Linked DNA regions of Alligator mississippiensis. The protein of the gene in region 1 purifies or fractionates together with the protein of each later gene. This does not show direct contact. Links are inferred from orthologs where the notes say so. Each region holds a gene or a part of one and is shown on either strand. Other genes may lie near its edges.

Evidence for each region.
Region 2: the proteins of STX6 (region 1) and VAMP3 purify together in Homo sapiens (affinity purification with mass spectrometry; 5 studies listed by BioGRID and IntAct, counting the BioPlex papers as one, with this or other methods). This does not show direct contact. The link is inferred for Alligator mississippiensis from reciprocal best matches to the Homo sapiens genes STX6 and VAMP3.
Region 3: the proteins of STX6 (region 1) and STX7 purify together in Homo sapiens (affinity purification with mass spectrometry; 3 studies listed by BioGRID and IntAct, counting the BioPlex papers as one, with this or other methods). This does not show direct contact. The link is inferred for Alligator mississippiensis from reciprocal best matches to the Homo sapiens genes STX6 and STX7.
Region 4: the proteins of STX6 (region 1) and VTI1B purify together in Homo sapiens (affinity purification with mass spectrometry; 3 studies listed by BioGRID and IntAct, counting the BioPlex papers as one, with this or other methods). This does not show direct contact. The link is inferred for Alligator mississippiensis from reciprocal best matches to the Homo sapiens genes STX6 and VTI1B.

What each region holds. Positions count from the first base shown.
Region 1 is NC_081828.1:52,539,810-52,547,051, forward strand, and holds the start of STX6 (syntaxin-6), read right to left. Parts: upstream 3,037-7,242; 5' UTR 2,963-3,036; coding exon 2,928-2,962; intron 1,142-2,927; coding exon 972-1,141; intron 31-971; coding exon 1-30. Other genes in the region: uncharacterized protein LOC132250811, read left to right, coding at 3,314-3,459. UniProt on the Homo sapiens protein: SNARE promoting movement of transport vesicles to target membranes. Targets endosomes to the trans-Golgi network, and may therefore function in retrograde trafficking.
Region 2 is NC_081836.1:20,081,888-20,089,770, forward strand, and holds the start of VAMP3 (vesicle-associated membrane protein 3), read left to right. Parts: upstream 1-4,877; 5' UTR 4,878-4,983; coding exon 4,984-4,985; intron 4,986-7,111; coding exon 7,112-7,193; intron 7,194-7,883. UniProt on the Homo sapiens protein: SNARE involved in vesicular transport from the late endosomes to the trans-Golgi network.
Region 3 is NC_081824.1:115,199,556-115,207,603, reverse strand, and holds the start of STX7 (syntaxin-7), read left to right. Parts: upstream 1-4,891; 5' UTR 4,892-5,020; exon of another isoform or gene 5,021-5,026; intron 5,027-7,946; 5' UTR 7,947-7,976; intron 7,977-8,048. UniProt on the Homo sapiens protein: May be involved in protein trafficking from the plasma membrane to the early endosome (EE) as well as in homotypic fusion of endocytic organelles. Mediates the endocytic trafficking from early endosomes to late endosomes and lysosomes.
Region 4 is NC_081825.1:230,760,412-230,768,033, forward strand, and holds the start of VTI1B (vesicle transport through interaction with t-SNAREs homolog 1B), read left to right. Parts: upstream 1-4,490; 5' UTR 4,491-4,585; coding exon 4,586-4,700; intron 4,701-7,622. UniProt on the Homo sapiens protein: V-SNARE that mediates vesicle transport pathways through interactions with t-SNAREs on the target membrane. These interactions are proposed to mediate aspects of the specificity of vesicle trafficking and to promote fusion of the lipid bilayers.

The DNA.
Region 1 (7,242 bases):
TGAATTTCCGAGGATTTGCTTCAACAATGCGTTAATGACAAGTCAAGGAAACACTACTGAACCAGTAGTCAGCATTCAGGCAAATATCCTGGCTACCTGAAAGGATACTACTACCTAAGTGCTATAATTAATAAAGTTAACTGGACCAAGATTTGGTTAGTTAGGAAAATCATGCATCTGATGCTTAACAGTCCTTGCATCCTGCCATTGTGTACCAATGTAAAGAGCCCGCTGGAATTTTTTGGCTTGCCTGACTGGCACAGCATAGCACTATCAGAAATTGTTAATTTTAATCCTTTTTCAACTCTCTTTTCTGGAGCTCAGTGTAACAGAGGACTGACTGCCTCCAGTTAAAATTCATCCCACAGAAGGAACCTTTTAGAACAGGGCATCTTACTTTTAACTATATGTTACTGATCAAGAAGGAGAGAGGACATATAAAAAAAAAAGGTTACTTTGAGGAAAAGCTGGCATGTCACTGACTCCACTGTCTAAACCAGTGGTTCTGAACCTTTTTTGCATTAGGATCCATTTGTAAACATTGATGGCCAGTCCCAACCCAGTGCCCCTCAATCCTGACCGAATGCCCTGCCGTTCCAGCCCCCAGTGTGTGGGGCAGGGGAGGGCCCATGCAGCCCCTCACAGGCTGGAACTCTGCCAGCTTGCAAGGGAAAAGTCACCATTTCCCAAGTTGTTCTCCTTTAAAGGATAATCCATTTTTAAAGTTTGTTGATCCATTTTTGTTTGAAACCCCTTCATATATTATTTTGGGTCACAATCTATAGGTTGAATAATTCTGGTCTAAACCATACAATGATATCTTATGAAAACAGCAGCTTCTGAAAGAACTTTATAGCATACAACGCATATTTTCCAAGAAACTGAATTACTCTTTAAAAGCCAGCCTCATCCTTCAGGTAGAAATAACACAAGGCTGTATCTAAACTGTAACAGGTCCATATAAAGGATATTAATAGTTTCATCCAAGTCTTCCAGGTCCCATTCAATGCTCCGCAGGTTGTTCCTGAGCTCATTAGTTGTCCAGTCAATTTCTTCTCTTGTGGCTATAGAAGGGTCTTGCAGGAGCTCCGTCCATCTCTGAAACAACCCCTGAGCAGTATTCACTGCTTTTTGGACCTCCCTGAAATCAAGATGATTAACAAAAATACTAATGACTCAACTACACAGAAAAACATTGTAGTACAGCTCTAACAGAATCATTCCACTACTGCTGTAACAGACTGATTCTCCATGTAGACAAGTGGTGTTTTTCACTGTTTTGGCTTTAAAGTTATTTGCATTAATGACCTCCTCTCAAGCATCCTCCCTTCAACCTGCTTGATTTTCTCTTTAAACTAATCACATAAGCAGAGAAAAGTTGGGCTAGAAGGGACCTCAAGGGTCATCTAGTCCAATCCCTTGCTCAAGGCAGGATTCCCCACAAACACTGGTTACTAGATAATCAGTATCTTGTCTTGTCTTCTACCCCAATAGAAACTGTGACAGAATTTCATAACAGAAAGACAGTGACAGTTATGGAAAGGATCTACCTCTTTCACCTATTGCTGTTATTAAAAAGAGAACTTTAACATTTCCCAGACAATTGCACTGCTTTTTCAGTACTCTTCTGTGGATGGAGGAACCCATGCTACTCTTTAACAAACAGACATTTTGCATTTCTATAGCATCTTTCATTCCAGAACCAACAAGGACGAGGGCAATCCTGGCATGTTTCATACTGTAATTTCCTATGCACATTCTCCACTACAACATGTTGCTACTTCCTAATCATGGACCATAAGAATTGCAGGAACTGTCCCTACAGAATTTCTGCATGAACCAACTGTGTCCAGCTTGGATCTGCTTATTTCATTTTTCTTTTTTGTAATTTACAGTACTTATTGAGCTATGTTTGCTTAATAAACTCAACTGCTTTACTGCTCCAACAAGTGTCATAGAAAAGTGTTTCAGATGTTAGCATGAGAATGCATGCTGCTGAAAGCACTGAACATTATAGTTATTCTCTGGGATCAGAGGGCAAATAGCAAATATCTACCCATAAACATATGATTATCTGCATAAGTAAATACTGCTGTCTTATTCCCAGGGAATATCCTTTCAAATGAATGGAAAGTTGGGATGTAACACTTATACACAAGAGGCATGTTAGCAAGCTTTTCAGGTCTTATGATCAGCTGTAAAAAGCTTGCCCCACGTTTAAGGGTTGCACATAACGTGCAGATCTGTTCAAAGATGTGGGGACTTCTGTTCTTTGACAGATAGGGGTTGGACTTCACTAATAAAAGCTTAGAGTTGATCAGCTGTGTCCTCAGCTTGTGGCCATGAAGGGGATGAACGTGGGCCAGTTAGAAGGACTGTGTCCCGCTTTGGGGTACCCCAGCCTGAAGCCCTCAGTTTTCTGTCAAGGGCAGGTCTTGTTTCCTGTGCTATGTTATCTTTCCTCCCTCCTCTTTGTCGGTGCTTCTCAAACTACACGAGAGCAGAAAATACAGTAAGGTTGTTCTTAGGATCCTAGGAAATTAAGAGCTGGAAGGACCTCACCAGGCCGTCCAGCCCTGCCCCAGCTCGCGGCAGGCCGGCTCCTGGCCAGCCCCTTCCAGGCAGCATCGGAGGACGGAAACTCGCTGCCTGGGCCCGCTCTGCCCCTCCCACTCCCTCAGGGACACCATGGAGCCGGCTCCAGCCCGGCACGGGGAGCGCGGCCGGGTGGGAGCTGCTCCAGCCGCTGCCAGGGCCGGTAACCTGCTCACGGCCCGCCCAGCCCCTGCTGCGGGCTCCCCCACCCGGTAGCCCGCGGGGCGCTGGAACCTCGCCCGCCGCCCCCGGGCCCCGCCCCGCACAGGCAGCCCTGAGCCGGGAGCGCCCGCCCCGCCCCCGCGGGGGCCTCCAGCCCCGGCCGCGCTCACCCCTTCACCACGAAGAACGGGTCCTCCATGGACATAGCGGCGCGGCGCGGCCCGACCCGGACCTAGCCCCGGCTTCCGCGCCCAGCCGGACTAAGCCCAGCCCCACCCGCCCCACCCCGGCCGCAGTCACGTGACGTAAGAGCACCGCCCCGCCCCGCCCCGCCCCGCCCCGGCGCTGGGGGGAGGGGAGCCCGTTCCTGTCGTCACGTGACAGTAACAGGCACAACCCCGTCAATCCCCGCGGGAGCGCGGTGTGCACTTGTGCCTGCTGCTGTCACGTGACAGGTACAAGCCCAGCCCCCGCCGGGGGACGCGGTGTGCGCGTGTGCTTGCTGACGGAAGTACTGCGCAGGCGCTGCAGCCCCTTCCTCTCCGCCGTGACGGCTATGCCCGCGCCCTGCCTGGCTCGGCCAATCACAGACTTCGCGGCCGCTCGGTGGTTGGAAGTTGACGCGGGCGGGCGGGCTGCGCGGCTTGGCTGGGCTGGTGGAGCTGTTCCAGTTTGGGGCCTCCGGTCCCGCGAAGCAGGAGGGTAGGCGGTGTTCCCGGGTGTACGACCATTACCGATTTGTACAATAACTTCGACCCTTGCACGGTGTCCGGCCAATGACAGTAAAAGTGCCCAAAACCTACCATTTACTTTTCATTCCATCCAGGAAGAGCGCACACCAACTGCTGAAACTTCCTTAGCCTGACAAAGGGTTTTTGAACCCAAAATCTTGCTTAATACATATTCTCCAACTATTTGAGTTGGTCTAATAAAAGATATCAAATTCACCCAAGGACCCTTGTCTGCCCAAAACCTACCATAATTTTTAAGCAACTGATTGCTGCATCACTTGCAAACCCCAAATTGTTTCCAGAGGGCTTTAGCTAGGTTTTGGGTTTGCTGTCAGTGCTTTTCTATGCCTACTGACCTTGAAAGAAATGAATCAACTTTAAGATCCAATTCTCACTTGCTCACTGGCAAGTTACAGTGAGCAGTACAAGGTAAATAAGACTTACTGGCAGACTTATTTGCATATTTTTTCAGTGTAGGGCAGCTTTTCAGCAAATATGATAATTTTGAGCTTCCAATACAATAATTTAAGACTCGAGTGCCGTGAGGTGACGTGTTGTTCCCGGCCGCCTGGGGCCTGAGGAAGAAGGAAATCTCCTCTCACTTAAGGGCCAGCAAGTCACAGCGCCCGCGGGACCCTTCATACTGTTCTTTTATTTCCTCTGTCAGAAAACACAGAAAACAAGCTGCCATTTTCCAAGAGCCGCCTTGAGTCTAGTGATGGGCACCTTGAATCTAAATACAGTTGAGAGCCACTGATAGGAAGGGAGGATACTCTCGTGGGGGGAGCAGGGGGGCAGGGAGCAGATGCATGCATGGGTATGGGTGAAGCATGTGGGGCACAATTTGAGACCTTGGGCAGGGACCCCTGAACCGGCCAAATAATGTGACTGCACTTTTGCTCTGTCGTGCCAGATGTCCCAGCTGATAGTGCTTTAAAGTAGGAAGCCTGTTTGGCAAGGCGACTTGCTCGCCGTGGGAAATCTGTGGAGCAGTTTTGCAATCTGGAACAGGATAATCGTGAATGTTGAGGGAAAAGCCATTGCGGATTGCGAAACCAGGGAATCAAATTCAGTGAGAGAGCCTCTTTAACGATAGGCTTTGGATTTTAAATAAAACGCCCCCTTTAATTGGGATGATGTAGTCACACGTCGGAGTCCTTTGTTGCATGTTCCCATGGCTTGAGTCATCCGTAGGCAGATGGAGAGGCATGCTCTGTCCAGAGTTCTTCGCTCTCAAGAAGAAGGACACTTCTTTGTGAAAACAGAGGGTGTCTGAGAGGACAAATGGAAGGGACACAAGGGAAGCAGAATGGGGAACCTGTCTCAGGCTCTTCTGCCCTTCCTGTCCTCGTCCAACCTGCAAAAGAAAACACTGGGGTCTGTCCCAAAGACTACTACTGATTCCCGTCTTTTCCAGGCTCCCCTGTCACCTTAAAGTTTCACAGTCCCATTCTGTTTGAATTCTACCTCCCTTTACAATCTCCCTGCCCAAGCAGCTGCCAGTTTCAGTGAAGACAACTGCCTGTGTAGTTTCCACCACCTTTTCTGCCCTATCTGTACGTAGGGTGGCCATCATAGAGGACAGTCCGGTTGTCTAGACTAAGTAGCAGAAAACAGAGTAGCAGAAAACTGGAATGTCCTCTATGATGGCCACCCTACCTGTACATCTACACCAGTGTTGTTGCCTACTTACATCCGGCTGTTCCTCCAGTAACTTTAGGCCTTTGCTCTTCTACTTTAAAAGTACTGAAAGGCTAGGGAGACCTGTCTGCTGGGGTCTGACCACAGTTTTGGTTGAAGGAAGAAAGTTAACCTTTTTCATGAGAAAGAGATATATGTGGCTTTGAATTGTTGAGCACTTTCTCATTCTTCATTTCTTTCTGGGAAAACTGTTGGCACAAAAGCTCTCCCCAGCTGGGAGTCAGTTTCTCCATCTGAGAATGAAGCCTTTATTTCAATTGAAATGTTCCCGCAATACCTGCACAAAACCAGTAACAGTTACTCCACATTCCTCTTCTCCTTTTCTGGAAGCAACAATAGAGGCTCCTATGTCTTTTATTTGGTAACAGGTGTAACTAAATACTTCCATGTTCAAGTGCCAACTGTTTTTCAGGTGCCAGCATGATCTGAAGAAGCAAAATTTCTCGATGTGTTGCATTTCATTTGTATACTATAAATTGGTTCATGCAGTTGTGTACTGAGTAATTTTGCTACCTTCCAGGAAAACACTGGTTCAGAAGTGCAGAGATCAGTAGCTTTATCAGTGAGACCTGTTGCACATTTTTGTGGTAGCCAGTTGGTAGTTCTAGGCTGGTAGTAGCAGTTTGGTGTCTTCAGAAATTTTGCTGGTGAGTCAGCTTAGTTTGAACTTGTTAATTACGAAGACAGTTTGCTGACATGTAAATGTATTTCTACACAAATGCTGTATTTTAAGAACATCTTGTTAAAGGTTATCATATTTGGACTTATTCAAGCAACTGCAAAAGTCCTAACAAAAGTGATTTATGGTGCTTTGCTGTCAGTATTGTGGAGTAGTGCAATTCATCTCACTCAAGTGTGGGATCTCATTCAACATTATCTGGATCAAGAGTGAATTAAACAGAGAACAAGTCAATTCAAATAGTAGCTTGTAATAGTAATTTATGGAGATTAGAAGTTCCTTAATAAAGTACATTAACCTTTTTTTAGCAGAGTTGTAGTGGTACTGTAGTCATGGCAGTCATGGTAGTCCAGGGAATATGCAAGTAACAAGTTTTGTTTGGTAATTTTTTTTTACCGGATAACTTTATAGTTGAGAGAGAATTCTTTTCTCAAGTCATTCTAGGAAAAAGTTTAAACAAGTTGGAAAATTGCAAAGATCTCTATTGAATAGCTGAGAATTTTCAAAATTCACAGCAAGGAGGTGGTTCTTTTTTTTTAAGCTGAAAGCTAATTTAATATAAATGATATTTAAAATCAAAATATCACACTATCAAAAAACCAAGCTCTTTTGACTTTCTAGGATGGGTGTGGTCTTGTCTCAGTTCCTGAATGAAAGTTTTGATTTCACTTTGCAGTGCTGCAGATTGCTCCAGTATGTTCCTCCCCTGGCCTGCCAAAAATTTCTGGTAGAGGAGAGTCTTTGTAGGCTGCATCCCACTGTAGAGCCCACTGGGAACTATTCAGTGAAAAATATTTGATTTGTTGAAGCCATACCAGTTTTGACAAAATGTTCATCAAGAAAGAGTTCTTACTGTGCCTGTACACACATGCATGTACCTGTCATCCCAGAAGAGCCATCGCCTTCTGAGCAGGATCCTCTTCTGGAATGTAGGAGCCCCATCTTCAGGTCCCTGCTCTTCTACTCCCCTTCACCCTAGGTTAGTACCCCCAACCACTTTCTCTAAAATCTAAATCTCTCCTGTGGGAGCCAGAAACAGTCCCCATAGTCCAGTCATTAGAATACTTGCCTGGAATGTGAGAGACTGACTCTTCTGTGGTGTGTGAAGGTCTTTATCTTTTTCTCCTCAAGAAATGGTAGAGGGCCTTGGTTTCACTTCTATGCAGAACAGAAAAACCCAGAATATTTTGAAATCCTGAAAATTTCATAGATTCATAGATGTTAGGGTCGGAAGGGACCTCATTAGATCATCGAGTCTGACCCCCTGCATAAGCAGGAAAGAGTGCTGGGTCTAGATGACCCCAGCTAGATACTCATCTAACCTCCTCTTGAAGACCCCCAGGGTAGGGGAGAGCACCACCTCCCTTGGGAGCC
Region 2 (7,883 bases), on another chromosome or scaffold:
GAGATATGTGCATGAATTCAAGAAAAAAAGAAATGAAAAAAGCAAAGCATTAGTGGCTATGGTCTGTAAAATGAAACAAAAACTTTATTTCACTATAAGAAACTTTATTTTAAATGTTCTTTAGAAGAACATTTTGCTAAAGCATGACTAAATGGCAAAAAAGAGCTACTGTATTTAGACTTAGGAAAAAAGGCAGAGTAACATTACTAAAAAAGGATATGTTTACATTTGATTTTGGCTACCAGGAGTTTATTTTATTTTATTTTAATTTTCTTTCTTTCTGTATTTCTTTTGCCAATGGTGCCAAGTAATGTGAATGCTAATATTGCTTAAAAAAATTAAGTTACTTTCGCAAAGCAGATAATCATAAGAATACAAAATCGTATCTAGCTTAACACCATACACTCACTCCAATAAAGAACACTTAGAATGAACATAAACTGAAAAAAAAGAAATAGTATGAAAGTAGAAAATATGTTTCACATTTTCATATCTCCTGCTGGAAGTCAGAAAATGTAATAAAAATTGCACAAAAATAAAAAAAAATAAAAATAAGTAAAAACTTAAAAGATGCAAACTGATCTTGTAGGGGTGTCATGGTATATTGCTATTTCCACATAGTGAGGAGCCAAAGAAATCAGATATTTTAAAAAGTGAAATACTAATGTAAAACTGTCGTAAAGTTTAAACAGGATGGGCAAGATTCTGATCTTAATTGCACTGGGACGTATCAGGAGTAATACCCCTGAAATTGGCACAGTTACTCTGGGTTTACACAGGTGTAGCTAACATCAGAAACTGCTCCTGTGTGTTTATTTTGCTAGTGCCAGTTTAAAATTTCCAAATGATTGGTGTAAATTTTAGATGGTTAGTTTTAGAATAGTTGTTCTTACTTGATCCAGGCCACCAACTGAAATATGTAATTGCAAGGCTTGTTGTGAAGCCTAAAAATATCACAGATTATAAACTTTTAAACTGGTGTCTTTAAAAGAAAAGTAAAGACAAAGGTTGTGGCAAAAAAACTGGGGTCAGTGCTCTTGGTGCCTTTTCTATAATTGTACCTGTTTTTAATTACTTCTTTTCACTGCCAGCATTGAATTACAGTGTATGTGCTATAGCTCATGATCAGAACACTCTGTACATTTGTGAACTGCTGCTTTATGATCTGATTCAATAAGAGAAATTGTCTGGCTGCCACATTGTGGCTGTGGCAGCCTTTTAACTTCAATTTATTTTATTGAATTGGAATACACATTATGTATTCCACACACAAAAAATGGGAACAGGAAATGGAAAAAAGAAACTCCTTCTGGAATGCTCTGTATTAGTACTGGAAGAACTCTGACACTTTGAATGTGTTTGTCCCATTTGCCAGTATTATGGCACATATAATTGATCTTTTCCTAACAAGAAAGAGTAATGACCTCAGTGGCAGTATTTAACCCCTTGCGTTTGTACTGAGAAACCGTGTCTACACGAGATGATTTAATGTGCAACAGGCTAATCTACCGTGCAGTAAAGCGTCACCGCTTACTGTGAAGTAAATTAGTTTACCGCGCTGTAAATTTACTGCACAGAATAGCCAAATAGCATTAACTGCACATGTAGACATGCCGACAGAGTCAGTAATATACAGAGCTATTTCAAATCCATGGGCCTTGTGATGTATCTACTGACAGAGGCCCTGCTTCAGCCAAACACATAAGTACGTGCTTAATATCAAGCATGTAAGCAATTCTGTTAGCTTCCATAGGAGTATTCACATGCTTAAAGTTAAGTATATCCTTAAGTGCTTTGCCGTGTCAGGTCATAAGTCTTCAGTGTATCAGTGACCACTGGTGAGTTAAATACACTGTCCCACTGAAGTGAAGTGATTCTATTCACCCTTTTCTTGATTGTGGAACTCATATTTTAATAGATGATAGTGCAGCTTTCTGGGAAAATCAGGATTCCCAAGTGCCAGGAGCAGGATCTTCTGTCTCCTGCAAGTGGAATTGCTCCTTCATGTAACACATCTGAAAACAGTAATACTGTGTGAAAGAAATACAGAATATAACATGAACCCCCTCTATGGTTGCACGCTTACAGCAGTTCCACACAGTAGTTGGCGCCCGATGGGGAGTCCCCAAAACTTGCATGTAAAACTAGTATAGATGTCTCTCTTTTGTAAGTTTTATTTTTGTAACTGTGCATGTAAAGCATCACTGAATCAATGGATCTGTTGAAGAACTCAGCTGCTGGAACCATGCAAAATGTTTTGAATTGCCCTTAAAATATGGAAAATGTTTTCTGAATGCTTTATATTCTTTCTGCTGTAAATTAAAAACAAAGAAAATTTCCCCATACTAAGTGTGTGTTTTTTAACCTTCCATTTTAACCAAGGAGCTGCATCTTCCTTGAGTAACTATAGTTAGCCTTTTAAAAAGCAAGTCTGTCACATGACCTATTTGCAAACATCACTCAGGTTCTTGACTGGCTGGATTTCAAACGCAGCTGTCTTTTTTGATTTTTTTTTTAAACTATCATAGACCCAAATCCTGCTGTGTAGTGGATATGCAGGTTTGACTGCACTGAGTGGGTCCAAGCACTCACATCTGAGAGAATGTGATCCTTAAAATCTCTTGATCTGTCTTTCTTCTGGATTGTAATGTGTACCCTCCATCCGGTATGTAGACCAGCACATTTCAGGACACTTCTTAAGTATTAAACTTACTGGACTTTCAACTGGCTTCTGATGCCCCCAAGAGTTCCAGGTAATTACTCAGAAGTGCACTGCCTGCCACATCTTTCTAAGATCTCAGGTCAGCCCAAAGATGCTCAGCCTGGTGTTGGGCACTGCCATAAAAGATTCAGGGAGAATGCATGGTCCTCACACCTCACTTCCTAGTTAGGCAGTAGTGGGACAGGCTGGATAAGGCTCCTTCCTCCATTTTTTGGTTCCCTTTGCTATGGGGTAAAAGTTTGTCTTTTGACTGTTAAATCAGCTTTTACAGCAGAAAGGAAATGGGTTTTGCCGTCCTGGACGCTGGTCTCCCTTTCTGTATGTGTCTCATGGCAACATTTAGCAACATGGCTACAACCCCTAGAAACCTCACTGTATTTAAAATATGTGGGGGCAAATTCATCCCTGCTGTAACTCCCCTGAAGCCAACAGTCAGGGGAGATAAATTCTGAGCCAGGCTCAGAGACTAGTGTCTGTCAGATACTAGAGATCATGATGCTGTATGAGATGGCAGAATAATTTCTAAGGAAAACAACTGAAAACTGATCAAATGTTGATGGGTTTGATCCATGCCTTCAGGGATGAATTTGGCCCAGTTTCCAGGCATGACAGTCACTGTCTCTCCAGACTGAGATGTGCTACTCACAGTGTGCACTTTCCAATGCAAACCAGGGTACAAGTGCTCATGTTTCTATTGCACAATATTAATGACACTTCCCTGCAGGAAGGAGCAACTGAACCCTACATCCAGGAAGATTATAGATGTATGAATGATGTTAACAGAATAAAATGGAACAGGAGGAGCTTAAGAAAGTATCAAGAAATATTTGACCAGCACTTAGATGGCTCCAGTCCTGATTAAGGCCTTTAGAATCTATTGTAATGGAAATATATAATAATAAAATATATATTTCATTTAGCAATTTTTAACTTTCTGCAAACAAAAGTCAGTACCTCTCCTATTGGAAATATTGGGAAATTACATTACATCAGACCTCAGTAATGGAAATAACCCTTTTTGCTTTTATAGCATAAATAATCCAGAAGGTGTGCTGGTCCTGAGTCAAATGATTCAAACATGCATATCTGGTCAAACCAGATTACACCTCGGCAGTCCCTGTGTCCTCACAGACTATGCAGAGATCCCAGACAACTAAGCCTGCCAAGGTAGATTGTTGTACCGGGCCAAGACACTGCGATTTCAGGTTTCCCTACACTTAAATGTAGACAGCTGCAAGACCACATTGGATGACCCCTTGGTGCTTCTACATGTGCACTTCACCGCAGAGCTAACTAATTAGTTCTGCAGTAAAGCATCACCATCTACCTGTGCTCCTCTTATTAGAGTGCAGTAAACTAATTAACTCTGCTGTAGGGTAGTACTGTCTGAGACAAATACTATCCTACAGTGGAGTAGTTGCATATGCCAGAACACACATGTAGATGGTGGCCTGGGCTGGCTGAGGCACGAGGGTGCTACAGTGCAGAGGCTGCCTGCCAGCTAGCCCCACACAGTAACACAAAAGTGCTGGAGTTCACACCCCCCCACCCAAGCTGGCACCGTCATCACTATCCTGCCTTCTACTTGACTTCAGACTAACACGGCAGTGTCTCGCCAGCCATTACTGACAGGACAAGCCCTCAGCTAGGTAGGGGGAGGGGGTGCAGGCTCCCTACAGACCCGAGGCACTTTTGAACCTTTCACCTCACTAACATCCAGGTGGGGCTGCGCCCGGCAACCGACCCTCGCGCCCTCGGCGGACAGGCGGGGTGTGCCGGATGGGGGTGCGAGTCTCCTCCTGAGCCAGGCCCAGCCGCTACGGGCGCGCTGGAGCCCAGGCCCTTCAGCCGGGACGAGCACGTCGGCTGCCGGGTTCTGGCCCCCGCTCCGTGCCGCGCCGGCCGGCTGGGCCGCCCGCTCTGCAGCAAGGGTGACGGCGGGGCGGCTGCCCACACGGACATGGCCCGCGCGCCGCGGCACGGCAGGCTCGGGTCGCCCCAGGTAGCGCGGGCGGCGCCGGACTGACTGCGAGCTCAGCCTTGCTGCTCCCCCTCCGGCCCGGCCCCCCCCGGCCCGCGACCCCGCCCCGGGCGACGGCGGCCCAGGCCAGGCCCCTCCCACAGGCCGTGGCGTGGGCTGAAGAGGCTCCTCCCCAGACGTCATATCCTGCCGTTGCCCAGCCTGCGCACTGCTTCCGGCTTGGTGCTGCTCCCTGGGCCGCCCGTGAGGTTAGCAGGAGGCCGCTCGCCCGCCCGCCAGCATGTGAGTCCGGGGCAGGGGAGGAGCCGTGGGGACCCGGCTTGGTCGTTGCGTGTCCTGGGCCGGGAGCTGGCGCTGTCCTTGGGTTTCTTCTGGGCGGGCGGGCGGGCTGGGGGGCGGCACTAGGCCCTGCCTGTCGCGCTCCTTGGGGCCTGGTGGGGGCTGATAGCGACGTCCCCGCGACCGAACTCTGGGTTGGGCGGGGCGGGGCGGGGCGGGGCGGGGCGCGGAGCCGCTCGTCCCTTCCCGTGACGCCCGCCCGCCCGCAAGAGGCTCCTCGAGACTGGCTGGTCCTGAGGGGCCGGGCCCGGAGCTGGGGGCGGCGAGCGTGGGCCTCGGCCGCGGTGGCTCCTTGCGTGTAAGAGCGTTGCCAGGGGCTCTCGCACCCGCCCGAAGTGCCCCGAGCTCAGCGGGAGCCACGGCAGCCTTCTTTCTGTTTAAGAGGCGTCCAGTTTGCGTGAAAGATTTAAGGTGCTGGGGCTAATCTTCCATACTCAAAAAGGTGGCACCAGTCCTGTCAGTGCTGGGATCCAGCTCTCCGGGAGGATTCCCCTAGAGATCTGACAAGGGGCCTGAGCCTTCCCCTTTCCTTCCACGCACAGCCCAGTGGGAATTCACTTCTAAGTCGGGGGTAGTTCAGTCGCTTCTAACTGCAGATATTGCTTTCAAGACTCCTAGAAAAAGTTAATTGCTTGAGTACTGCCACCTGTTGATATTGGCTAAGGGGAATGTAATGGTGTGCTTGGATCCGGAACAGAGGAAACCAGAATACTAAGCACAGTGCACTCTATACACCTGCTCCAGGGGTGGGGGGAGTTTAATTAGAGGGGCTCTAATTAAAGTACCTGAAGGGTCTGGTGTATCAGCATCCCTGTGCTTCAAAATGGCAGTGGGGTGTGTTTGAAAATAAAGTGCCCTTACCACTATTTTGAAGTGCTGGGACATGATATACCAGATGCAAGCTGGCTGTTGGAGTGTGGTAATTAGCACTCCAGATTCCATTAGTGGAGTTTGCTACACTGTAATTGCAGAATGTCAGAGCAGCCTCTGCACTGAAGTATAGGCACCTGGTGTTCATAAAAGAGGTATAAAAGTTGAGCAGATGAGTGAAGAACTTCCCCTAACTTAGGAAGGATATGAGAGAGAGAGAGGAAATGCCTGCTGTGTTTTATAAACTTTCAAGTTTTAAAGTTGTAGAAGGAAATAACACAGTCACTTGCTACCTGAGGCTCTGGGGAAAAAACTGGGTTCAGAGAAGCTTTGTAACTGTTTATGAAGCTTCTTGTCTTCTGAAATATCTAGCACTGAATACTGAATTGGCTTTCTTTTCCTAGTGACCTAGGAAAATTATTAAATAGCAGGAGATGCTGCATGGACATAATTACTTGAAACCATCTCTTTTTCCACAAGTTGATCTGAATTTCTGTTGACAGCTATTGAACTTCCAAGTTCAAATAATAAAATGTGCCTGAATTCATGTGCCCTTATTTCAAAAGGGAGAAAAATATTGATGGGTTGCAGTTCTTGGCATTTGATAGCAATGTGAGCTATTGTTTATCTCTTATTTCTTTCTTGGCTGTTGTATTAGTTTGCCTCTGCTTGCCCTCTGCTGCTTCTACAGCCATGCACTAGTGATAAAGACTTAGGAACTCTGCCCGTAGCTAACTTCACTTCTTTGCTGCTTAAAGACTACTAACTTATGAGAGACTGTGGTCTGAGGGAATGTCTGTATTGCCTCTAGGCTGCTATTGAGGCTGCTATTGCCAGGGTTTACTTACTGGCCATCGGTTTCTATTTCTCTCACTCCAGAACTGGAGCTGAAGCAAGGAAGCTCAGGTGTGCCTTACCCTGCTGCTTTCTGGTTCTTTGTTTTTTGGGATGCTTGAAAGTGGCAGGAAGGCTACCCACAATCCCTGCTTTAGAGCAGGTGGATGAGGCTTTATTCTTGTGGGCAGTTGCAAGAATCCCACTGAAGGACTGTGGCAATAACTGCATTTCTGTCTCTTCATCCTACTGAGAATGGGGACTGGTTGCTGAGCCATTTTCTGTGACTTGCATACAAAATCTGTCTGGAAGTCTTGTGTCCCAGTTAGGGATGCAGTATAAAATAACTACAACTATCTCTGCAGGTCGGCAAGTGGCACTGGAAGCTCAAGCGCTGCCTCTGGCAGTAATCGTCGTCTTCAGCAAACACAGCATCAAGTAGATGAGGTACAGTCTTCACCTGCACTTCTCCTGGTCTGCTGACATCAGGAGACCCCAGGGGAGGTGGTGGGTGGAGGGAGATGCAGCTAAAATGTAATGTGGTCAAAATTAAATTTGTCTGCCTGGGTATGTTAACGAAGGGTCAGCATCTCTTCATGTTTGTTCTTGCCCTTAGTCTCATGTACTGTTTCTTCATTTGTTGCAAGCAACTTGTTCCTATATTTCCTATATTAGTAAGTGACCCTTGGTTCACTTGCTCTGTGCACTAACTCTGCGAGACTTGGACATTAAAAAGACATTGGTGAGCTTGGCTTCTGAGAGAGGATGAGTCTCCCCTTTCAGGAGCTGAAAAGACATTGAAACTTGTAGTTATTGTAATTACCTGACTCCAAGATGAATCTGAATTTAAGATTACTACTCTTTTTACCCCCTCCCCCCCCCCCCTTATAATTCAGGGGTTGACAACTTTTGGGCAGAGTGCCAGAAACACCCCCAACTTTGACTTGTACGTTGTTGTAGCAGTGCAGCCCTGGGCCCTTCCCCACCATCCACCCCATGGTATGAGTGTCAAGCAAAATACCTTCACGTGCCACACTCTGGCACCCGTGCTGGGGGTTGCCTACCGCTGACCTAGATTCTATATGGACACTTTTTATAAATTGGTTTAATCGTCTATGTATAGACTCTAGTTATTGG
Region 3 (8,048 bases), on another chromosome or scaffold:
AGCTAATCTAGATGTCAGAGCATTTGCTAGCAAGAGGGAGACCAGGGTTATATAACCCTGCCAGCCTGAGGGGTTTCAAACACACAGTTCCCACTTCTCGGGTAAGTTCTAGGTAATAGGAAACTCTTCATCCATCCTGTTAAAGCTAACCTAAGCCTAGGACTGTGCACATGTTATACATAAGCAGTGAATGGTTAAAACAAAGAAATAACCCTGGGAACAGGGATGGGAACCCAGGCCCACATCTCAGAGTAGTGCCCTAGAAATTAAGCTACAGAGGCACATTCAGTTGTGCTGACTCTCCTTCTGGCTCCAAGAGTTTTGCAGTCTTAGCTGTGCAGTAGCCTAGCTTTGACAGGAGGGATGGGAGGTGTACCTACATAGATAATTCCACACTCTGATGATTAGGGTAGTTTCTGGGGAGGTCAGAGGTAGGTGTTTGGGTCCCTTTAGGTTGACAACAGCCTGGAACCAAAGTTCCCCACTTCTAACTACTAGGGCGACTGGGGAAAAGTTGGGCCTAGTCTCTACTGGTGTTTTCATGCTGCACTCATTGCCATCAGTATAAGTTAGAGATGCCACAATTTTGACTAGAAGATTAGGAACTTCGGCATTGCCCTAAAACCACTCTTGATTGGAAGGAGGGACTGGACAGGAGGAGACTTAGATGAACAAGTGATCAACTTGAATCACGTCTGTGCATATTCAAACACCAAGTGCAGGCAAAGTACCCAAGAAATTTTGGAGTCCAAAATGGAGTCCAAGTGCCATCTGAATGTGGGCACCTACTGAACTCTGGGGCTGCTGGAACAGAGCCAATAGAAATCAGTATTTGGAACATGGGCACCTAAATTCCAGGTAAGTCCCATTGAGGTGCTTATGTAACCAAGAAGGAGCCGGTTCTTAGCTCTGTTAATGCATTTTTCTAGTGGTAACATTTCCCACATATCTTTATAACAGGCAAGCGAAAATTAAAAATGTGTTTCTATTTGATTTCCACAGAAAACATGGCTATTTAAAAACTTACTTAATTGGCCATTGACTTGGAGTTGTGTGCTTATGTGATTTTTTTAAATACACATATTTTAGTTATACCTTATTGAAATAGTAATGACTGAAGAGTTGAGATTTAAGATTGTTTTCAGAAATAAAATCACTGGATAAGATACTGCATGGACACCATGGATGCAAAGTGAGCATACAATGTGTACTATTGATGGTACTACCAACCACTTCTGTGGAAATAGTGAGGTCTTGGCTAGAAGGCTTAGCTCAGTATGTGTGTGAAGCATGCCTCAGCTATTAGAATTGTGGCATTATTGCTTACTGAAGAAGGCAGGGTAGAGATGCACCTTACAGATTAACTGAATCAGAGATGCATAAGCTTTCATAGTAAGAGCCAACTTTATCAGATGCTAAGAAAGGGCATGCAGAGAGCAGGCTACCAAATAAATCAGAATGCTGAAGCCCTGGCCTGTGGGCTGGATCTGGTCCATAGGACTCTGCCTGGGTTTGAAAATCTGGTGGCAGGGGAGTGGTGGCAGCTAATTGCTCCTCCTCTGTTGTCATATTTCTAGACCCAGGGGGAGCCCTATGGGCTGGACAGCATGACCCTGTGTACTAGACTGAGTGCATGAGGCTGAGTGGGATGTCCCAGGGTAGCATGGCACATGGCTGAGTGGGATGGCATAGGGCTGAGCAGGGCAGCATAAAGTTGATCAGGGTAGCACGGATCTGAGCAAGATGGTGCAAATCTGAGCGAGGTGGCAGAGATCTGGCAGAGGCAGCACAGACCCCAGTTTGGCCCACAGACCAGCCCTGCAACACTTACCTAGCCCATGGGGCCAAAAGATTGAGCAATACCAGCACTGCGTGATTTTGATGCAAAAGACAGGGAAGGAAGGGAGGCTGGAGACTGTAGGGGAAAGGGGCAGTGCTCAGAGGGGCAAACAAATAATGCACTTGTATGGATGAAGGGGTCACTAAAGCTAATCCAGGTAATGGGATAAGGATCCCTGTTTAGACTATGCTTCACACAAGCCAGTCTGAGGAACTTGTTCCACAATTTTTTGTTCAAGTTGGCATTTAAAATTCTACTAAGACAGGGGTGGGCAATTATTTGGGCTGGAGGGCCACTTAAGGAGTTTTGGTGAGATGTGGAGGGCCAGAGGAGAGGAGGGGGGTAGTGCTGACCTGGCCTCTGCCCCCCCGTTACAGCTGTTTACACTGCCTGGCAGGGTGCATGGGGTGGGGTGGGGGGCTGGGAAGATGCTAACTGATCCTGTCTGACCCGAGGCCCATCGGCCCCGCATCCACAACCAGGGGCACTGGACAGAACAGGCTGGCAGGGTCTCCATAAAGACTGACCAAGGACCCCTGGGGGCAGGGTGTGCTTGGCCAGGCAGATGGAATAGGGCCGTGAGTAGGCAGGGAGCAGTGCCTGTTGCAGGGACATGTGAGGAGCAGATCATGGCTCTGCCTTGGGCCCTGGCCCCACTCTATCACTGCCCTGTGAACCCAGCCCTGGCCCCAGCTACCCATTCTACTCCCAGACTCTGCTCCCGACCTGCCCATGACCCCATCCCATTCACTTGGCTGAGCTTGGCTGAGCTTGCCCAGTTTGCGGGGGCCCTGAGCCAAACTCCATGGAGACCTTGCCCACTTGCTTGCCCATTCTGATCAGTAGGTGCAGGGTGGATGGGCCAGGGTGCCTGGGCAGCAGGACTGGGTCCAGTAGTGGTGGTGGAAACACTGGCAGTGGCAGCTGGAAGCGTGAGGGCAGAGCGAACTGCCATCATGGGGACTGCCGGGAAGCAGAGTCAGGCCACCATGCTGCCACAGCTGCTACCCCATTGCCGTGCCACCCAGCCCCCAGACTACAGCTTCTGGTGTGCCCAAGAGCTGCATTTAGGGATAGGGCAGGTTGTACCTTATGCCGGGTGGCACCTCTGCACCCAGGGTGGCAGGACCAGCTGCATGCATTGTCTGCAGTGCCTAGGCTACCTCCTGACCCTGGGCCAGGTGGGGCCAAGGGACCTGCCATGAGGATCACCCTGTCCAGCAGCAGATGTAGTGGGGGTGCAGTGGTGCAGTTGCACCCCTCCTTGATTCCTGCTGTACCCAAACTTAAAAACCAACCTACTGGTTCCATTTCTAATCAGGCAACACTGAGGGAGTCAATTTACTTCACGGCTTACTAAAATCTACCTGATTCCTGCTAATGTCTCTTCATTCCATAGGGGTTAACGACCCTCTCTACATTTTAATGTCTTTGATGTTCCACTATTCAAACCGTCTTTCTGCAAGTTTGCTGTCTGCCAGCCATTCCTGGTAATATCTCTCTTCTATTTCAAAGCCCAGCAGACTGTTTTCTAGCTCCAGCTAAAAACCTTAACTCAGGTGTAGTAATATTAATTCAGTGTAGAAACAACTGACAGTGAAGTATTGGAGGCACTCTCAAAACTCTCAGGAAGAGCAGATTTTGTTTTACCAATTTGAATAAGAGATGTACATTTAACAATGATGACTGGAGGACTAATGGCACAGTATCTTGACTATTTTGACCATTTTTGTCTAGTTTCTTGTGTTTTTTAAACTTAATTTAGAATCTAGCAAATGAGGGAACATGCTAATAAAGTTAGATTTGTTTTTGCTTTGATCTTAAACTGAATAATATAGCACGAGGCCTCTAGCGTATTAGTAAAGCTTCCAGTTCCTCTTTTAACTGGGACAAAAAAGTGTCATCTGTGGTGATGCACCATATCAGTTGCACAGCCCTTTTCAAAACCCATGGCTGCAAGACAACCCCTTGGTGGCCACATGTGGCCTCCAGGCCACCCATTGAACAGCCCTTTATCAGGGGACAGACATAGGTGATGTTAATGACTCTTTTAACTGGAGGAAAAGATGTGTAGTGTCTTATGTGATAAAGTGCCACATCATCCATACCCTGCTTTGCACTGTCCTAGAGCAGCCCTACCGTCCAATGGAAGTGGCAGCATTTTGAGTCAGGCAGCACTGAGGGACTTGCTTGACGTTGTGGCTCATTGTCCCTGATCCTTCCTAAGCCCTTCATGTGACGGGTGAACAACCTTCCCATCTTTTTTCATGCTCTGGAGGCTCCAGCCAGCAACCTAGCCTTTCTTCTGCTTTCTTTTCACCCTGCTGTCCATTAGGGCACTGGTTCTCAACCTTTTGTTTGTACCAGGACCCATTTGTAAACAGCAATGGCCAGTCTAGGTCCAGGGCCCTGCACTCCTGACCTGCTCCCCCAGTGTGTGTGGGTGGGTGAGGCATGGGGGAGGAGGGAGGGGGCAAGCAGCCCCTTGTAGGCTGCACCTCTGCCAGCCTGCAAGGGAAAACACCCGGTTTCCAACATTTTCCTCCTTTAAAGGCCAATCCCTTTTTCAAGTTTGTTCAAGTCCACCCACTTCTGGGTCGCGACCCACACATTGGGGAACGCCGCTTTAGGGGCTTCTGCAGCGGCCGACGGGTTTTTAACACGCTCTAAAAGGGGCCTTATTTGTTTTTTTGCCTCCTGCTGCAGCTGAAGAAGGCAGCGCTGCGGCCCCAGCCTAGTGGGAAAGCCTCTCCTTTCCATTTGAACGGGGGAGTGAGCAGGTGCAGTGCCAGGATCACAGGCTCACAGAAGAGGAGGGCTGCAACAGACCTCAGGAGGGCATCGAGCCCAACCCCTCAAAGCAGCACCAGCCCCAACAACTAGCTCGTCACAGGATGCGCCACCCTTCCCAAAACCCAGGACTGGCCCGAGCCCGGCACAGCCGCCCCCAGTGCGGGCGGGGCGGGGCGGGGCGGGGCGAGGCGGGGAGGTCGCTGCAGGCACCGCCCCACAGCCGGCTGGGGCGGGCAGGACCGCCGCGCTCCGCTCCGCCCCGCTCCGCCCCGCCCCGCCCGCTGACACTGCAGCAGCTGGCAGCGCCTGCTGGGCCGGGCCGGGCCGGGCAGGTCTGGGGTCGTGAGCTGCCGGGGCAGCAGGACCAGCAGCGGAGGTGACGCCGGGGTGAGGGTAAGAGGCGTTGGGAGTGGGGCGTGCAGGGGCCACCGCCCTGGGCCGGGCCGGGCTAGGCGGTGCAGTGCAATGCGGGGCGGGGCAGCCCTCTGGCCCCCCGCGCTGGGGGTCCCGGGCCGGGCGGGCTCCTGGCCCCGCGGCGCGGCGGGAGAGGCAGCGCCGCGCCCCGCTCCGCTCCGCTCCGGCCTCGGCCCGGCCCCGCCGCCAAGGGGGAAGCAGCCCGCCGAGGCCCGGGCGAGGGTGTGTGTGGGTGTCTGTGTGTCTGTACGTGTATACACAGCTATGTGCAATCAGGACTCGTAGTAAGAGATTATATATTTTATTAGACCAACAAGATTTTTTTTGCAAAAAAAATTACACAGCTGTGTAATACGTGTACATTCTCTGTATATGTGGGTGGGTGGATATGTACACACCCCCACACATGCGTATGTATATATGTGTGCGTGTTTACCTATAGCAGCAGTTCCCAACCCCAGGCCACGACCCAAATGAGGGTCATGGGCAATGCTGGTAGCACTGCACAGAAAAGATGAGCCGCCGCACCGTGTGCCAGGGGCTCCCTGGGCCACCACATGCCGCTCCCAGCAGCGGGGCATGGCGGGGAAAAAAAGGTTGGGAACCGCTGACCTATTCAATGTGTCTATACGCTATCTATCTAGCTCTAAACAGTGTGGATGCATACTGTATATGTATGGATATACACATACCTACATAATGTGCCTATGCTGTACCTACCTACCTATCCATCTCTATCACTAATATATATATATATATATATATATATATATATATATATATATATATATATATAGTGTAATGTTGGGGGGGTGTATATGTATATATGTGTGTATACACACTTTAATAATGTGTATACACTATATCTGTCTAGCCATCAATCTAAAGTATGCAGTGTGGGTGCATATATGTATAGATGTGTGTGCATGTGTGTTGTAGATCATATATAATGCATGTAGGTATATATACAGCGTATATGCCTATGCACACATGCTCGTGCATGCACAAATGTATATACTGTACATACATTATATAGGTGTGTATACACATGTGCACACATATATAGTGTACATACATTGTATGGGCCTGTATACACATGCATGTGCACACATAGTGTATGTAGACTTTATATGTAGTGGGTATGTATATGTCTGTGTATGTGTGTGTACACATCTGTATCATATACATTATATGTAATATGTGTACGCACACATGCACAGATGTACATGCACATATGGCCTCTTTTCCTGATGCTGATCTCAGAGGCCAGCTGAAGGCTTCCAGAGTTGGAAGGGATCTCAAGGGTCTTGTGCCCTAAACCCCATACACATATACTACTCATGTGTAAATAATCAGCCATGTTTAAACTCACCTTCCCTGCTCTTATCTAGCTTGATGCCTCATGTAAAAAATAATCCTGTGGTCCTATGTGAGATGCAGAAGTGTATGTAGGTCTTGCTTACGATGAGAAGTTGTAAAGTCTACTTGGATTTACCTTGTTTCTAACAGCGATTCTCAGCCACAGAGCCACGGCATCATGGGGTTCCTTGAGATCCTTTCAGGGGGGCCATGGGGTACCATGCAGTTTCAGTGCTATTAGGTTTACAGATGTGACTCATGAAATAAACCCAGAAGTTTCAAATAGAAATGCATTGTTGCGGTTTTTCTGAGTTCTTGGAAAAAGAATTGCTCTATCATTTTTCTGTAGTCAGAAAAATGAAGCTGGCATTTTCTGAAGGGTTGAGTCTCTCCAGGGTTGCTTTGAGTCTAAAAAGGTTGAGAACCACTCTTCTAATGCCATGACCTCCAAATGATAGTTTAAATGACCTTTTTCTTGCCCCCAAATTCAAGGGACTTTCCTTTTGAAGAATCTGAAGTCAAGTTTTACTTATGTGGTTTAGGACAACTTTAGCATTCAGTAGTAGAGGGGGAGGGAATCGGTCGGCCTTGAAAATGGGCATCATCTCTGTGCCATAATTTGTTCTTTATATGCAACAAGACTGTTGTTTCAGTCTTGGACTACTTCTAAGGAAAATATGGACAGAGATTCAAGTATGGACAACTGCAGTAATCATGTGTGTGTATATGACAATGGAACTTAACTTTCCATGTAAATTATATGGATTTTTCACGTTCCTGGTACAGTGCTACTGGGGCCTTTGCTGTTGAAAAGCTTCTACACTTCTCTTTCTCAGCCTGAGAACAAGACAGTTCACAAGTCTAGAAACAAAAGTGGGAGTGATATGTCTGGCTCTATTGTCTATTCTGTGTGAAATGTAAACACTGGATTCTTAGTTAAGGTTTTATCAGAAGAAATTTAGAGCACTTAGTCCCAGAATGGATACATTTTTGTGTCATGTTAGCTTCAGGGATAATTAATTATATGTATAATGGAAAATAGTTGGAGGAAAAAATAATCTAGAAACAACAGGCAAGAAAGTTGAGGTGCCTATATCAATTGGGTCAGTGACTACTGACTAATGCATTTATTAATTATATGTTCTTGAGGCAGAAAAATATTTACATCAGGGCAGGAGGCTTTTTATATAAATGCTGCAAACAAATAGGGGAGAAGCATTAAAAGTCCCTTAAACTGAAACTAGTATGAGGATTCCTAAATTCTTTAGTAAAGCTTCCCTGTAAGGTTACATGTCTCCAGTACACACAATGAAAACTATATCCTTCTGTAAGGGGATATGTTACTTAAGTTTTACATATTTGACTTTTTTTAGAATGCATGCCAACAAAACAAACTTAACTTGAAGGGAAGCTCTTAAGGAACATAGCTAATTGTATTTTATTGTAGTAGTTCCCAAAAAGCCTGTTTGAGATTAGGAAATAGATTTGTGAGAACTGTGGCAAATTCTGTACTAACACATGCACCAATGTCATTTTTCAGTACCTGTGATCTAAGAAGCCGAGGCCTAAGGTAAACTGAGCTGTCTTATTTCTTAATTACATCTTCTCCTGTACCCTTAGAATTTTCTTTATACACCAGCAT
Region 4 (7,622 bases), on another chromosome or scaffold:
GCCAATGTGAGGACACAGTCAGGAAGGCCAACCACACCTTGTCATGCATCCACAGGTGCATCACAAGCAGGGCCAAGGAGATGATCCTCCCCCTCTATGCGACACTGGTCAGGCCACAGTCAGAGTACTGCGTCCAGTTCTGTGCGCCGCACTTCAGGAGAGATGTGGCCAGCATCGAGAGGGTCCAGCGGAGGGCCACTCACATGATCAGGGGACAGCAGGGCAGACCCTACGAGGAGAGGCTACAGGACCTGAACCTGTTCAGCCTTCACAAGAGAAGGCTGAGAGGGGATCTAGTGGCCATCTAGAAACTTACCAGGGAGGACCAGAGGTGAATCTGAGAGACCCTGTTCCCCTGAGCGCTGCCCTGAATAACAAGGAATAACAGCCATAAGTTGACAGAGAGTAGGTTCAGGCTAGACATGAGGAGGCGCTACTTCACAGTCAGGGCGGCCAAGATCTGGAACCAGCTTCCAAGGGAAGTGGTGCTGGCTCCTATGTTAGGGGTTTTTAGAAGGAGGCTTGATAACTACCTAGCTGGGGTCATATGAGCTTAAACTTAGTAGGGGTCATATGAGCCCAGTATTCATTCCTGCCCAGGGCAGGGTGTCGGATTTGATGATCTGCTCAGGTCCCCTCTGACCCTTCATCTGTGAATCTATGAATCCCATTAGGACCTTAGGTAAGCCCAGTATAGATACCAACCCACCAACTGTTTTTGCTGACCTAGTAATGGGGCACCTGGAGGGGTTGAATGTATTTAAGTCAACAGGTCCTGATGATCTTCGTCCTAGAGTACTTAGGGAATTAACTGGAGTCATAGTGGAGCCGCTGGCACAACTGTTTGAGCATCCTCGTCCTAGAGGATTGGAAAAGGACCAATGTGGTCCCTATTTTCAAGAAGGGGAGGAAGGATGAACCGGGTAACTATAAGCCAGTTAGTCTTACCTCTATCTTTGGCAAGACCTTTGAGAAAATTGTTAAGGATAACATTTGTGGGGGACCAGTGGGTAAAATGATGCTAAGGGGCAATCAGTATGTGTTCATAGCAGGCAGATCCTGCCTGACTTAACCTGGTTTCATTTTATGACCAGGTCACAAAATGCTTGAATGGAGGAGTAGAAGTAGATGTTATTTACTTAGATTTTAAAAAGGCCTTTGACATAGTGTCCCACCCAATTCCTATTAATAAACTAAACAGTTGCAATATAGATTATTACAGGGTCCGGCAGGTAGAAACACCCAGAGAGTGGTGGTAGGTGGGTCAGTTTCTACCTGGAGAAATGTAGGTAGTGGAGTCCCCTAAGGCTCTGTCCTGGGACCACTCCTATTCAATTATCTTCATTGGTGACTTGGACGAGGGAGTAGAAAGCACCCTGTCCAAGCTTGCTGATGACACCGAACTATGGGGGGATTCATAGATTCGTAGATGTTAGGGTCAGAAGGGACCTCAATAGATCATCGAGTCTGATCCCCTGCGTAGGCAGGAGAGTGCTAGGTCTAGATGACCCCAGCTAGATGCATATCCAACCTCCTCTTGAAGACCCCCAGGGTAGGGGAGAGCACCACCTCCCTTGGGAGCCCGTTTCAGACCTTGGCCACTCGAACTGTGAAGAAGTTCTTCCTAATGTCCAGTCTAAATCTGCTCTCTGCTAGCTTGTGGCCATTATTTCTTGTAACCCCCGGGGGTGCCTTGGTGAATAAAACCTCACCAATTCCCTTCTGTGCCCCCGTGATGAACTTATAGGCAGCCACAAGGTCGCCTCTCAACCTTCTCTTGCGGAGGCTGAAAAGGTCCAGGTTCTCTAGTCTCTCATCGTAGGGCTTGGTCTGCAAGCCCTTAACCATATGAGTGGCCCTTCTCTGGACCCTCTCCAGGTTATCTGCATCTCTCTTGAAGTGCGGTGCCCAGAATTGCATGCAGTACTCCAACTGCGATCTGACCAGCGCCCAATAGAGGGGAAGTATCACCTCTTGGATCTATTCGTCATGCATCTGCTGATGCACGATAAAGTGCCATTGGCTTTTCTGATGGCTTCGTCACACTGCCGACTCATGTTCATCTTGGAGTCCACTAGGACTCCAAGATCCCTTTCCTCTTCCGTGCCACCCAGCAGGTCATTCCCTAGGCAGTAGGTATGCTGGACATTTTTCCTCCCTAGGTGCAGCACTTTGCATTTCTCCTTGTTGAACTGCATTCTGTTGTTTTCTGCCCACTTGTCCAACCCGTCCAGGTCTGCTTGCAGCTGTTCCCTGCCCTCTGGCATGTCCACTTCTCCCCATAGCTTTGTGTCATCTGCAAACTTGGACAGAGTACACTTCACTCCCTCGTCCAAGTTGCTGATGAAGACATTAAAGAGTATTGGTCCAAGGACCGAGCCCTGCAGGACCCCACTGCCCACACCCTTCCAGGTCGACGCCGACCCATCCACCACGACTCTCTGGGTGTGACCCTCTAGCCAATTCACCACCCACCGGACTGTGTAGTCATCCAAGTCACAGCCTCTTAACTTGTTCACCAGTATGGGGTGAGATACCATATTGAAGGCCTTCCTGAAGTCTAAGTATACGACATCCACCCCTCCTCCTGTGTCCAGGCGTTTCGTAACCTGGTCATAAAAAGAGACTAGATTAGTCAGGCAGGATCTACCTGCTACGAACCTGTGCTGGTTTCCCCTCAGCATAATTTGTCCTGCCAGGCTCTCGCAAATGTGAGCCTTGATAATTTTTTCAAAGATTTTGCCAAGGATGGAGGTGAGACTGACTGGCCGATAGTTGCCCGGGTCCTCCTTCCTCCCCTTCTTGAAAATGGGGATCACATTGGCCCTTTTCCAGTCCTTCGGGACTTGGCCCGTGCGCCACGAGCTTTCAAATATTCCCGCCATTGGCTGTGCAATGATGTCGGCCAGTGCCTTCAGCACCCTCGGATGGAGCTCATCCGGGCCTACTGACTTAAAGGCATCCAGTTCTTCCAAGTGACTCTGCACCATCTCAGGGTCTACGCACGGTAGTCTGGCGCCTTGCTGCTGCCTCTCTACAACCCCAGTGAGAGACTTGTCGTGCCCCTCACTTAGGAACACTGAGGCAAAGAACTCGTTGAGGAGTTCAGCCTTGTCCCCTCTGTCCGTCACCAATTGTTTCTGCCCATTTAGCAGGGGTCCTATTCCACCCTGGGCCTTCCTTTTACTCCCTATATATCTAAAAAACAATTTCTTGTTGTCCTTTACTTGGGATGCCATCCTCAGCTCCATGGTAGCTTTGGCCCGTCTAACTGCCTCCCTACAAGCACGAGCAGAGGAGGTATACTCATCTTTGGTGATCTCTCCCTGTTTCCACTTTTTATGTGCTCCCCTTTTGGCCCTTAGGCTGCCCTGGATTTCTGTGGTCAGCCAAGGAAGCCTCCTGGCCCCTTTCCCTCTTTTTCCTCCCATCGGGATCATCTCCCTCTGTGCCTGATGTACACAAACTACACGGCACAAAGTGAATCCAGGCTGATTTGGACAGGCTGGGGAAATGGACCGAACAGAATAGGATGCAGTTTAACAAGGATAAGTGTCAGTAACACAACTGCAGAAAGGGATCGCGGAGTCTTAGTCGACTCCAAAATGAACATGAGTCACCAGTGTGATGAGATAGTTAAGTAAAGCTAACCGCACCCTGTCTTGCATAAGTAGGTGCATCACAAACAGGTTTAGGGAGGTGATACTTCCCCTCTATGCAGCACTGGTCAGGCCACAGCTGGAGTACTGCATCCAGTTTTGGGCACCACACTTCAGGAAGGATGCGGATGGCCTGGAGAGGGCTCAGAGGAGGGCCACTCATCTGGTTAAAGGCCTACAGAAAACCCCCTAAGTGGACTGACTGGGAGAACTGAACCTCTTCAGCCTCCGTAAGAGGAGGCTGAGAGGTAATTGCATGGGCGCCTACAAACTCATTGGGGGGGGGGGTTAGCAAGAAATAGGGGATACAATGTTTACCAGTGCGGCTGTCAGGGTAAGTAGAAATAATGGCCACAAACTGGAAGACAGCAAATTCAGATTGGACATCAGGAAATAAAACCTTTATAGTGAGGGTTGCCAAAATACAGAATAAGCTCCAAGAGAGGTGGTGCTGTTCCTTTCCCTGGAGGTGCTTAAAAGGAGATTGGACACCTGGCTGGAGTCATCTGAGCGCATCCGCATAGAACCACGCCGCCGTCCGCACTAGCCCGGCACTCCCGTGACCGCCTTATGACTGTCCCTACGCCGGCCTACAATTCCCAGCATGCCCTGCGCGCCCCGGGGTCCTGATGATGCCCTCTAAGGTGACGTAAGTGCGCGCTTGATTCGTTAGTCACCGTTGGGAGCAAAGTTGGACCTCCCGAATATCTCCCCCCGACTCTTCCTCGACAGGCAGCTGGAGCCTGCCTTCAGCTTGCTCCGGACGGAGCTTTTTTTTTTTTTCCTTCTTTTTTTTTTTCTGATCAGGCGCCAATTAGGGCACCCCCTTCGCGAGACAGAGGGAGGCCCCCTCTCACACATCCCGGAAGTAGCGGCGCGGAGCGGGCGGCAGGGTCTGGGCAGGGGCTGCCTCTGTCATCGCCGTCATGGCAGTGCGGGGCCCGGGCTCCTCCGAGCACCTGGAGCGGCTGCACGAGATCTTCCGGGAGCTGCACGGGCAGCTGCGCGTCCTCCCCGAGCGCCTACGGGGCGGCCTGGCCGGTGAGTGAGTGCGGCCCGGGTCGGGGGAGCTGCCGGCCCGGCCCCGGCCCCTTCCACTTCCACTGTGCCGCTGGATCCGGGCCGGGTACTGCCCCGGCACTGCCCATCGGGGTGCCCGCCACAGCGTCCGAGCACCTCTCAGTGTAGCCGCGTGTGTAGGGTGCCAGTGCCACCCCTCCAGGATTGCCTTGGATCCCAGGGATTATCTGTGAATCTCCAGGAGACTGCTGGGAGTCACCCAGGGGGTAAATGATGGGGCACTCTTTAAAATAAATGTTAAATACAGTAGTCCAGTGCGCTTTTAAAATGTAACAGTAATGTGCATTTGCCTTGCTGATGTAAATCTGCACGCTGTAATTAAAGTCCTTATGTGAAACCTCACGGAATATATTCAAACAGATTGGTGACCCTGTGGGTGTGCAGGCATTACTGTATTTGTGCCATCATTTCAACCCTCGTATGATATACACTCAACAGTAGTAAAAGTGTTCAAAATGTCCAATAACTTTTGAGGCAGCTCATTGAGGCAGCATATGCAAAACCCAAGGCGCTCTTGGGAAGTTTTTTGTTAATATTGTTCGTGTTCCAGGTCAAACTAGCCAAATCCTATCAATTGAGCCAGAACTCAATCGTTTCAAAGCCCGCGTCGACTGAGCTGGCAGAACTCGATCATTCTGAACACCGTGTGTGGCGCTAGAACCCGTGAGCGTCCTCTGTCCCAGGCTGTCTCCTGAGGACTTCAGATACTCCCAAGTCCATTGGCAGTAGGGGTGCAACGATAAAGATTTTTTTGGCTGATACTGATGATCAATTGTTAACCAGCTATATTGGCTGATGCAGATCTGATTGCTGACATGCAGCCTAGCAGTTTGGGGAGCATGGTCCAGCTGGTAAGTCTGTGGGGTGGAAGGGGAGGGGGAGGGAAGGGGCATGGCGGGGGTAGATCAAGGCCCCCTTGGTGAGGGAGGGAGTGGGGCAGGAGCAGGCACTGCCCAGCTGGGGTGGGATGTGGGACGGAGGCGCAGCGAGGGGGGGCAGCTCCCGCCACTGTGCGCAAATCTGTGGGAGGCATGGAGGCCATGTGTACCTTGGATTTCTGCACGGGACAGGGAGGGCTGCCCACTGTGGGCTGGGGCCAGGGCCTGCGCCAGCCTCTTCCTGGCGGGAGAGCTGGGCCGGGGCTGTGCTCAGGGCAGGCAGGGCTGGGGTGGGTGGCAGTGGCCCTGGGAGTGGGAGGCTATGGAGTGGCTACAGCTAATTTTGGGGTGGCTGTAGCTTTCCCTGTAGCCCCTGCCCCCAGTGCTGCTGTTGCCTGTCCTGCCCCCACCCACCCCACGTACAGCCCCAGTCCCACCTAGCCCCCCACCAGGAAGAGGCTGGTGCAGCCCCTGGCCCTGAGCCCGCAGTGAACAGCCCGCTGCATGCAGAAATCTGGGGGACGCATGCCCCCATGTCTCCCCCAGAGGTGTGCACAGCATCAGGGAGCTGTGTCGTGTCCGTCCCCCCCCCCCCCCCCGGACTAGCCACCTGCAGCTCCATCCCACTTCTTGCCCTGTCCTGACTGGGCAGCCCCTGACCCAGCCCTACTCCCTCCCTCACTGTGGGGGCCTCGATCTGCAGCCCTATGCCCCTGCCTTTCCCTACCACAGACTTATTGCCTGGATGCTGCTCTCCAAGCTGCCAGGCTGCATTCCTGGCCACATGCATGCTGTGCCTGCGCAGATCCATGCAGCATTTATTGGTGACATTATTGGCTACACTAGCCAAAAAAAGCTGATTGCTGATAATGTCAGTTTTCTTCTTATCGGTGCCAGTCCGATATGAACCAGTCGGTGCACCTCTAATTGGCAAGCATCCTACGTGCAGGCTTAAGCCCGGAAGTCTTGGAATTTGGATTCCCTCTACATTTTGGGCTTGTTACAGGACTTTCTTATGGCTGCTTGCCTTAAAATAAAGAAATGTTTTGAGTTTGACCCAGTTCTTACTTGCTCACTGGCAACTTACAGTAAGTAAGAAGATGACTTATTTGCATACTTAGTTGCATATTTTTTCAGTGTACGATAGTTTTTCAGCAAATATAATAATTTTGAGCTTCCAATATAATAATTTGTATTTAAGACCTGGCAATCCTTGCACCACTGCTCTAAACTACTTTTCTTTCCTGTATGAGACCTGCGCTGCTCAGGGAAACTGGCTCATGAGAAATGGGCTCAATAGCAGTATCCAGTGCAGGAAGCGATGCTGGCAAGAGGATGCTTTTCCTTGTATGTCTTTGTTTTAATGGGAGGCTGGTGCTAGTGGTAGGTAAAGCACCCCTCCCTCCCGGCAGCTGGTCTCCCTGTAAGTCCCACGATGAGCTTATCGTGTATTTCAAGAACTGAAAAAAGGAAGGAGCCAGAGGAAGGGATTTCTACCAGTGTGGACGAATCTCCTCGCAGTCAGCATGTTCTCTTGTTGCATGGCCTGACACGTAGTTGCCTCCTGCCTGTCTGGCCAGCTTTGTTTCTCCACTAGAGGAGTGGCTAGGGCAAACCAGCAATGTACAGTATTGTTCTATGGGAGTATAGCCTTGTGACCACCAGGGCTGACTTTCTGTAACTCTGTGAACTGAGAAGTGAAACCTAAGAAAAGGCTATGGCTTGTTTAGAATCCAGCAGATTGTAGGCTTGGTAACACAGAATTGTTCCTTTCACATAACTAGCTCTCAGCCAATTGGTCAAGTTCAGGGTTTTAGTCATTGTCTTTGAAGCTGTCCATAAAACTGGCCCAGGAAGGACTGTATCATCTAGCATAATCCTGATCTTTCTAGGTGGTTTAATTCTAGTGTAGCCAGCAGGTTGTCAACAAAAGAGAAACTCATGTATGTGGAAGAATGACATTGTTTTGGGGAAGAGCCCACTCATTTGGATCTTGCTTTGCAGT